Linked DNA regions of Rattus norvegicus. The protein of the gene in region 2 interacts with the protein of the main gene of each other region in a biochemical or structural test. Links are inferred from orthologs where the notes say so. Each region holds a gene or a part of one and is shown on either strand. Other genes may lie near its edges.

The links.
Region 1: the proteins of Cd6 (region 2) and Alcam form a complex in vitro, tested with the Homo sapiens proteins (4 studies listed by BioGRID and IntAct). The link is inferred for Rattus norvegicus from reciprocal best matches to the Homo sapiens genes CD6 and ALCAM.

Annotation. Positions count from the first base shown.
Region 1 is NC_086029.1:61,986,675-61,990,494, forward strand, and holds part of Alcam (CD166 antigen precursor), read left to right. Parts: intron 1-1,146; coding exon 1,147-1,279; coding exon of another isoform or gene 1,280-1,338; exon of another isoform or gene 1,339-1,377; intron 1,378-3,084; coding exon 3,085-3,123; exon of another isoform or gene 3,124-3,126; intron 3,127-3,421; coding exon 3,422-3,539; intron 3,540-3,820. UniProt on the Homo sapiens protein: Cell adhesion molecule that mediates both heterotypic cell-cell contacts via its interaction with CD6, as well as homotypic cell-cell contacts. Promotes T-cell activation and proliferation via its interactions with CD6.
Region 2 is NC_086019.1:216,903,466-216,907,751, forward strand, and holds the start of Cd6 (T-cell differentiation antigen CD6 precursor), read right to left. Parts: upstream 3,060-4,286; 5' UTR 2,982-3,059; coding exon 2,933-2,981; intron 1-2,932.

The DNA.
Region 1 (3,820 bases), on a different chromosome or scaffold from region 2:
ATCCTAAGAATGACCGAACTACATTGTTTCCTTTTTAATGTTTTAAAAATATTTTCAAAACTTTTCAGGCAATATGTGCACTCCTTTTTTTTTATTTTTCCTTCTTTTATTGAAAACTATGTTCATGCAATATGTTCTAACTACAGTTCTACAGTTTCCCTACTCCCATGTCCACTGAAATCATACCCTTTCTTTCTCTCATTTGAAAACAAACAAGCATTAAAAAGAAATAAAGTAAGATTAAAAACAAACTGGAATATGGGAAAGAAAAGGCACAAGAAACACATAAATACATACATTCTCACCTCAAAGGTCCCATAGAAATACAAAATTGGAAACCATAATATATATGTGAAAAGTCTGTTAAGTAAAAAACAAAAGAACCTCAAAAAATGGGATACAAATCTAAACAGGAAATTCTTGAGAGATCAGACAGAAATAGCTGAGAAGCACTTAAGGAAATGTTCCTAGTAAGGAAATACAAATCAAAACTGTTGCATTGTTTCTTACATTTGAGTGTATCACATCCAGAAACAGCCCGATTTGTACCTCAGAAAAACCAAAGCACTTAAGCCATCATTGAAAGATCCACCTTTTTTATTGACAAAGAAAAAGTCTAAGAGAAACAAATAGTTTTATTTATCAAAAAACAAATCCTATATATATTGCACTTGGATGTAACATCTTATGATTAAGAGATATGAGATAAGAGAATAGATGCCCTCTGTAAAGAATTGATATAAGAGGATAGATGTCTACCCTCCCTCAAAAAAAAAAAAAAAAAAAAACCACTGACCTCATTCACAAACACATTCGAAGGGAACAAGATTAATAATATGCTTAGGAACAAGTATCATGAAAAATTTAACTGACACTGAGCATCTATGGAAGTGGGGGGAGGGAGGCTGATTGCTGTGTTAAAATTCCCCAAAGAATCATAGACAGAGAGATGCTATCATTGCTTTATTAATCTCATTTCTGCCCACTATAAAGCTGTAGATGACCTGGACGGTCCTTATCTATGGATTCCACACTCCCTTAAAAACAGACCGTAGGACATCGCACTGGCCCATGGCATCTGCCACTATTCTTTCCCAGACTCAAAGTGCATCTCCATCTCTAAACTCTTCTCCTTTCTTCTTCCAGACAGAGGAGTCTCCTTATATTAATGGCAGGTATTATAGTAAAATTATCATTTCCCCTGAGGAGAATGTTACATTAACTTGCACAGCAGAAAACCAACTGGAGAGAACAGTAAACTCCCTGAATGTCTCTGCGAGTGAGTATTTCATTTCTGGCATTAAAACCGTAAGAAAATTTGAAGTTATTCTTCATTAGCTTAACATCTTCAGCTCCATCTCCCTGTACTGCATCATGGTAAGTTTCACGCTTTTGTTTGGCATTTTTGGTATCATCGCCATGAGGTTCTGTTTTCTTTTTTCCTGGTTTCCATTTTTCTACTACCCTTGTCTTCACAGTTTAAGTCACTTCATATATTAGGACTCAGACACTTTTCCCAGGATAGGATGAGAAAATAAGAAACCAGTTGCCCGTACTTAATCCACACTAAGGAACCAGAGTCAGAGAATTCCATGATTATTTTAAAATAATCTTGTAAAAGGTATACAATCAATAAATTTTTAGTTTCCCCATTAGTTTGCATTACAGTTTGTTATATCTTTATCCTACCCCTATTGTATACAGAAATGCCACAAATTAGGCCAATTAACAAATTGGTAGCAAAAATGTTACAAGAATTAATACAAATCAGGTTGTAAAGTTTCCCTTCTCTCATTGATTTTGAATCATAATGAAAATAGGTGAAATCATCTTAGAGAAAATTGAAGTATCTGTCAATATTGAAATCCTAGCTTATATATTTTTCAGAGAGAGAGAAAACATTTTGAAAACCATGATTTATTGGAAAATTAGATACCATTTTCAGGCCCGTTACTATTCCCATTGCTATGTTACCATGGCAACGTTAAACCAGGACTGACCTAGAGTAAGGTTCACTTTTACACAGGATGTTAGCTGACCTGCTGCCAAATGTTTATTTCTTGACCAGTTGGAATCCTTACATTGGTATGTTTCGAATGTAATAGCTAGGAATTTATAGGACAAAACATTTTCAAAAGATAATGGTCCCTCACATTCCTACTGGAATATAAAGGCCCAGTGGATGAGCTGGAGAGAAGAACTAAACAAAATTAACTTTAAAATACAATCATTGACTTCTCACAATGCAATTCACTGGGTATTGATTTGCACTACCTAGAGAGAACCCAGCCTTATTCTTTTGTTTTAACGGAACTTTTTTTTTAAACACTAACCTGTTAAATGAGATAGTTCAGCTTTCTCAATATGTAAAGCAGTCATCTTCAAACTTTGTCCTATCTGAGCACTTAAGATGAGGAATGTAGGAGTGAATTGTAATCTAACACCACGGAGAATTCTGATGCATTTCTAGGCACGCTAAAGAATATTTATGTAATTTAACTATAATCCAGGAGTGCACTGAATTTTAATGAAACCTAAAACCACAGCACAATCAGCAACCTGGAAGTCTGGCAAATATCATATAGGGGATGATGTAATCCCCAAAGTACCCTACATATAACCTCAACCCCAACTCCTGATTTGAGGACGTCATTACTAGCCCTTTACACCAACAAATGGAAATGAATTCTCCTAAATAGGGGCAGAGAAAGTCGAGCACAGATGAGAAACACAGTATTATAGATTTAACAGGGGCCTCTTGTTCCTCCCAAAAAGGAATTCTAGTGAAAGACACAGACAGTAGGGAATTAATATAGATTTTAGATAAATACTGCAGCTTATTGGTTATAAATTTTCTCTAGCACATTAAAATATGTGTATTCTTAACTCTTGTCCTTAAGATTAATTCCTCTGTACGAACATTGTAGGGAAATTTTTGCTCTATGAAGTGTGATTTTTCTTTACCCTTAGCTCTAGAATAGCTGTTTTATCTAAGTATTATTACATCATACTATAATGGTAAAGGTGTCTTTCATTTATCAACAGATTTTGTTTTTAATTTCATATTAACATTTTTCATTTCAGTAAGTATTCCAGAACACGATGAGGCAGACGATATAAGTGGTAGGTACTATGCCACAGACTCTCCTTCCTTGACTATCAGCTCAAGACTTACGAAGTGTCCTTGTCTGAGTGACTTTCTTAGCTGTCCAAAAATTTGACTTGAATTTCAATACCAAATGAGACAAGATAGTCAAAATTCTAAAAAATAAACTTTACCCTTCAAAAAAATCACAAGTTTGCATGTAAACCACAGTAGTGATCCTTAGCTGTCATTAACAATCTGTCAACACAACACCAACTTCCTTTTAAACTCCGTAGCACTGGCTATAGCTACACGGACTTTTCTTCTTTGTCGTAGATGAAAACAGAGAAAAGGTGAATGACCAGGCCAAACTAATTGTGGGCATTGTGGTTGGTCTCCTCCTCGCCGCCCTCGTCGCCGGTGTCGTCTACTGGCTGTACATGAAGAAATCGAAGTAAGTTGTACAGAAAGGTTCTTGCTCTTCACAGCCTCTGACCTGAACCAAACCAGCATGCGGAGTGTGCTTGCCCCTGCTGTGGGCAATTTCTAGACTAATATGGACACATCACCAAATGGAGCACACCACATTTTCTTTTACTTCATAGAGAGTGCAGGACCAACCATCAAGGATGTGGCCTGGACTGTGCTCATGTCTCCTTAGCATTGTTAAGTCAACGTTCTGAGACCAGTTATTTTTGTTGTTGTTGTTTTCTACCTAGGTAATTTTTTTAAAGC
Region 2 (4,286 bases):
ATTTATCTTAACTCATTTTCAGAGCTTGTTTTGTGCTTTGCACGGACACATTTCACAGTTACTTCTATGCTGCCATTTTGGACAGCATAGAGCTGAGGGAATTAATTAGCTAGAATTAATTAGTAAGGGGCATTTATTATTTTTAAAAATTGTTCTCTCCCACCTGGTTGTCTCAAAGACCCCTTGAAATTATCAAGTTTATAAAGAAAAGCAAAGGTTATATTTGCTATTAAGGAAAACAGATTCGTTTTTAAAAATTAAACAATCTCTCTATGTACGGGTGCTGGGTGTCAGGCTGGCCTCTCGCACACGCTAGACAAGTGCTCAGCCTCAGAGCAGCGTCTCCAGCCGGAAGTACGTGATTTTAAAATAATTACAAACTGCCTTTTCAGGACACAAAAGACTTCACCCAGTAACTGGGAAAATGAGGACCAGGGAAGGATGAGAGCTCAATCAATTGGCGAATTAGAAACACTGGGTGGAAACTGAAGTTCCCATCCTCCCTGCAGTTAGGGCTTCTAGTTCACAACTCAGTCTCTTTCCCACATTGGATGATCAGGACACTGAGGCCCGAACGGGGCCCAGTGAATCTGTCTCCCGATGTCCTGGTCACCCAGTAACACACAGGCCTTGCCAGAGGTGAGCTGTGTGGGACTCAGAGTAGAGAGCCAGGTACCAGCCCTAAGCAGAGGAGAGTTCTGTGGCTCCCAGGAGAGCTGGCATCCACTAACCCCTGGCATTCGCCAGCCCCTGACTCCCAGAATAGAACCAAGCAAGTTTGGACACCATTCCCAGACAGAAAGCTCCAGAACTCTCTCCTGGGCTTCACTTTCCTGCTCCATTTCTCCTTATTGCTTGTTACTTTTTCTACCTTTTCTTTCTCTTTTCTCAACATCCTTTCCTCAAGCACATGTGGTCCAACACAGATCTGCCATCCCATATGCAGTTCCAAAGACCTGGGCCCAGCCAGTAGAGTCTGCCAAATCAGGCAGGAAGGAAGGAACATTCAGTCCCTGGGCCCAGAGACTCAGTCTCCTAGCCATCACCATGAGGGAGAGAGACATAGTGTCACTTTAGGGTGCAGTTTTCTCACGCCTCCAAAACTTGCCCTTTCGAGACATCCCTCCATGGGACATAGACCATCAGTCACCGATCAGAGAGTATTGACCAACAAGGGGCCTGTTCCCTGCTCGGAGTGACCGACAAATTCTGAAGAAAATAACGATTCAGAACCAGGATGTCCTTACCCCCTCCCTCATTACCCCTCTGACTGGGAGAGAGGAATGGTGCAGGCCTCAGGGCCTTGGTAGCACCATGTCAATTGCCTCCGATTTGGTTTTGCCACCATTTATTTTCATGCTTTCCTTACCCCTTTAATTTCTGGCGAATGATAAGGCTTTTCCACTTACAACATAACCAAGTTTTCTTTCAAAACTAAACTCCTATCAGTAACTAAAAGCAGGTCAACTGACATCAACAAAGGGACAGGAAGGAGCTGAGGGTACTGATATTGTGCATGGGGCCAGGTGCAAACCATACCAAAGGGTAGACTCTGGAGCCCGCCTGCTGCTGAGTTCTTGCCTTCCCATAGACATCACCCTGGAACCATCATCTCAGACCAAGGAAGGACCCAGAAGGACCTATCAGCTTCAGCACAAAGGGCTCGGTATTCCGCTCATCCCCAGCCCTCATCCCTACTGGGAGGCAGCAGAAAGAGAAGGAGCTGGCTTATTTGAGACTCCAGTCTTAGCAGTCAGCAGTCTTTTCCTTATAGGTATTAATTCTGAGCCTGCTCTGGGCCTCTTAGGAAAGGTGGGGGGGGGGCAGTGACACTGATGGACATGCAGGAGGTCTTGCAGTCGGCCTGGGTAGAAGAATGCTGAGCTCTGAGAGCTGCTTTGGAGACAGCTGGTCAAGAAAGGACAGCAAGGGGCTGGGGATTTAGCTCAGTGGTAGAGCGCTTACCTAGGAAGCGCAAGGCCCTGGGTTTGGTCCCCAGCTCCGGAAAAAAAAAAAAAAAAAGGACAGCAAAAGCCCAGGCCTCTACTGTGCAAAACACATGCCAGGGGACTTGGATGATATGCCCGAGGATCCAGACAGAAAGAAGGCACTCCTTTAGAAGTCCCCTAGTGCTCATAACCTCTGACGAGCTTATATCCCTGTCCGTCTGCCTGGGCTTCCCTTCTGTAGGGCAGACCTAACTCATTAGACCATAAGTCTGTTTCTCTACCATCTTCCTACCCCGAAATGTGAAAGCCCACCATGTACAGGGATCCCTGAGTTTCTGCTATTGCCTGTTTCTGCTAGCTTGGCCCTCAGCACTCTATGGCACCTCACGAGTGTCTGGTGACTTTGGGCATTTGCTCCAGAACCCCAGTTCAGGCTTCAAGACTACTTCAGCACTTGGAGGCAGCTCAGGAGCTCAAGAGCTTTCTCGATAATTTGTGTCTCAAATTAGTCCAAAAGGTTGACCCCAAAGTCACTATGAAGGATGGTCTAGAGGTTCCCTGGGTCTCCCTGAATTATGTCTCTGCTCCTGGTGAACTCCACTCTGGGGCTTAACATGGAAAATACTGTTGCTGGCTGGTCCACCTTCTCGGAGGAGTGGTTCCTCCCTTCCTGTGACAGGGTGGGAGTAGGGTGCTTCCTCAGCCCAAAGGTGAGTAGGGTTCTTCCCTCCTCAGACCTAGGACCCAAGTCAGGCACAAAGCTCATTCATCTCACTCCCACGAGGCCTTTTAAAGACGAGAGCATCATCCAACCCTTTAAGGGGTCCCTGTGTCATCTCAAGCCCCCAGCTGTTGTCACACCAGGATGGTCTTAGTTAAAAGACTCTACAAAAGTGGCCACGAGGGAACAACTAGCAAGAGGCCAAGCAGACAGGACCCGGGTCCTCTAGCACAAGCTGTAAGAGGTGACAGAAGAGATCTACCTGAGAGAACTGCTGTCAGCAATCCAGCGATCCCAAGGAAGAGCCACATGTCTGTTGCCGGCTCCAACTGCTACCCACGCCTGCCTGTAGGAAGTGCCATCCTGATTCGGTGAGGCAGTTGTGCCACCGACGGCTTGTCTCACCGTGCTGCCCTTTGTGTTCTTGTTCTCAGCGCCCTCTGTGCTACACACTCTCTCTCCTACACACAGGCCCAGCCTGTGAGTATCTCACGCCTCTACCTTCTGCTTGTGGTTTTGGTCTCCAGGAAGCCGGGCTGTTGTTACAGGGGTGCTGTTACAGGGGTGTTGAGCGGGGGAGCCCAAGCTGTCTTTCATAAGCCCACCAACCAAAGTGAACCCTGAGACTCACAGAGGCCCATGTCCAATGAGCACATCCCTGGGGGTCTTCCAAAAAAGACAAAGAGGCTGTGCCTTCTTTCTTTGAGACAAAGAGACAGTTCACTCCCAGAGATGCTCTAGTGTCTGGTGCTAGAAGAGTGAATTAATGCTTCCCTGCTGCCCCTCCCACAGAATCCAGCTCTCATGGGATTCGGTTCCAAGGTTTGTGTTCTCTTTGGGAATGTGGAGACTAAGAGGCAGGAGGATAGGGTCTTGATGGACTTTCCTTTGCTTGTGTGTGTTGAGGGGTATGCCATGTGTGCAGTGTGTGTGCATGTGTTCATGAGCGTGTGTGCATGTTTGTGTGTGAGAAAGGATGCACAGGTGTGTATGGTATGTGTGTGGTGCCTGTATGCATGTGTGTGGTATGTATGTATGTGTATGTTGTGTGTGTGTGTGTTTGCGCGTGCGCACACGCTTGAAGCTGATGTCAGGAGTGGTCTTTAGTTCAACTGTTCTCTGTTTATTTATTGAGGTTGGGTCTCTCACTGAATCAAGAGCTCCCAATTCTACTAGTTTAGCTTACCCTGGGCCCCATCTCTGCCTCCCAGGTGCTAGGATTACAGGAGGCTGCCATACCTGCCAGGCTTTAATAAAGGTTCTGAAAGTCTGAGCTCTGCTTTTCATGCTTCTGTGGCAAACTACTGAGCCATTTCCCCAGTCCTGGGGAGACATAGAAAGGGTCTAAGCTTTTCCAAAAGAAACCCTAGAGAACAGGGGATCTAAGAGCAGGACTCCCCCACCTCCATGTGCCCCAAACCCAGGTGGAAGTTGCCCAGAGGTGCCAAAGAATCTGGATCCCACCGTTGAGGACTGTTGGCTGTTTATGTTATAAGGACTGGGCAGGAGGGCAGGCAGGTTCTCAGCAGATGGCCTCGCAGGGAGGCTGCTGGAGGAGGAAAAGATTCAGGGAGGAAAGGGCTGGAGTGGGAAGGGCCAGGCTACCTGGAAGTGCT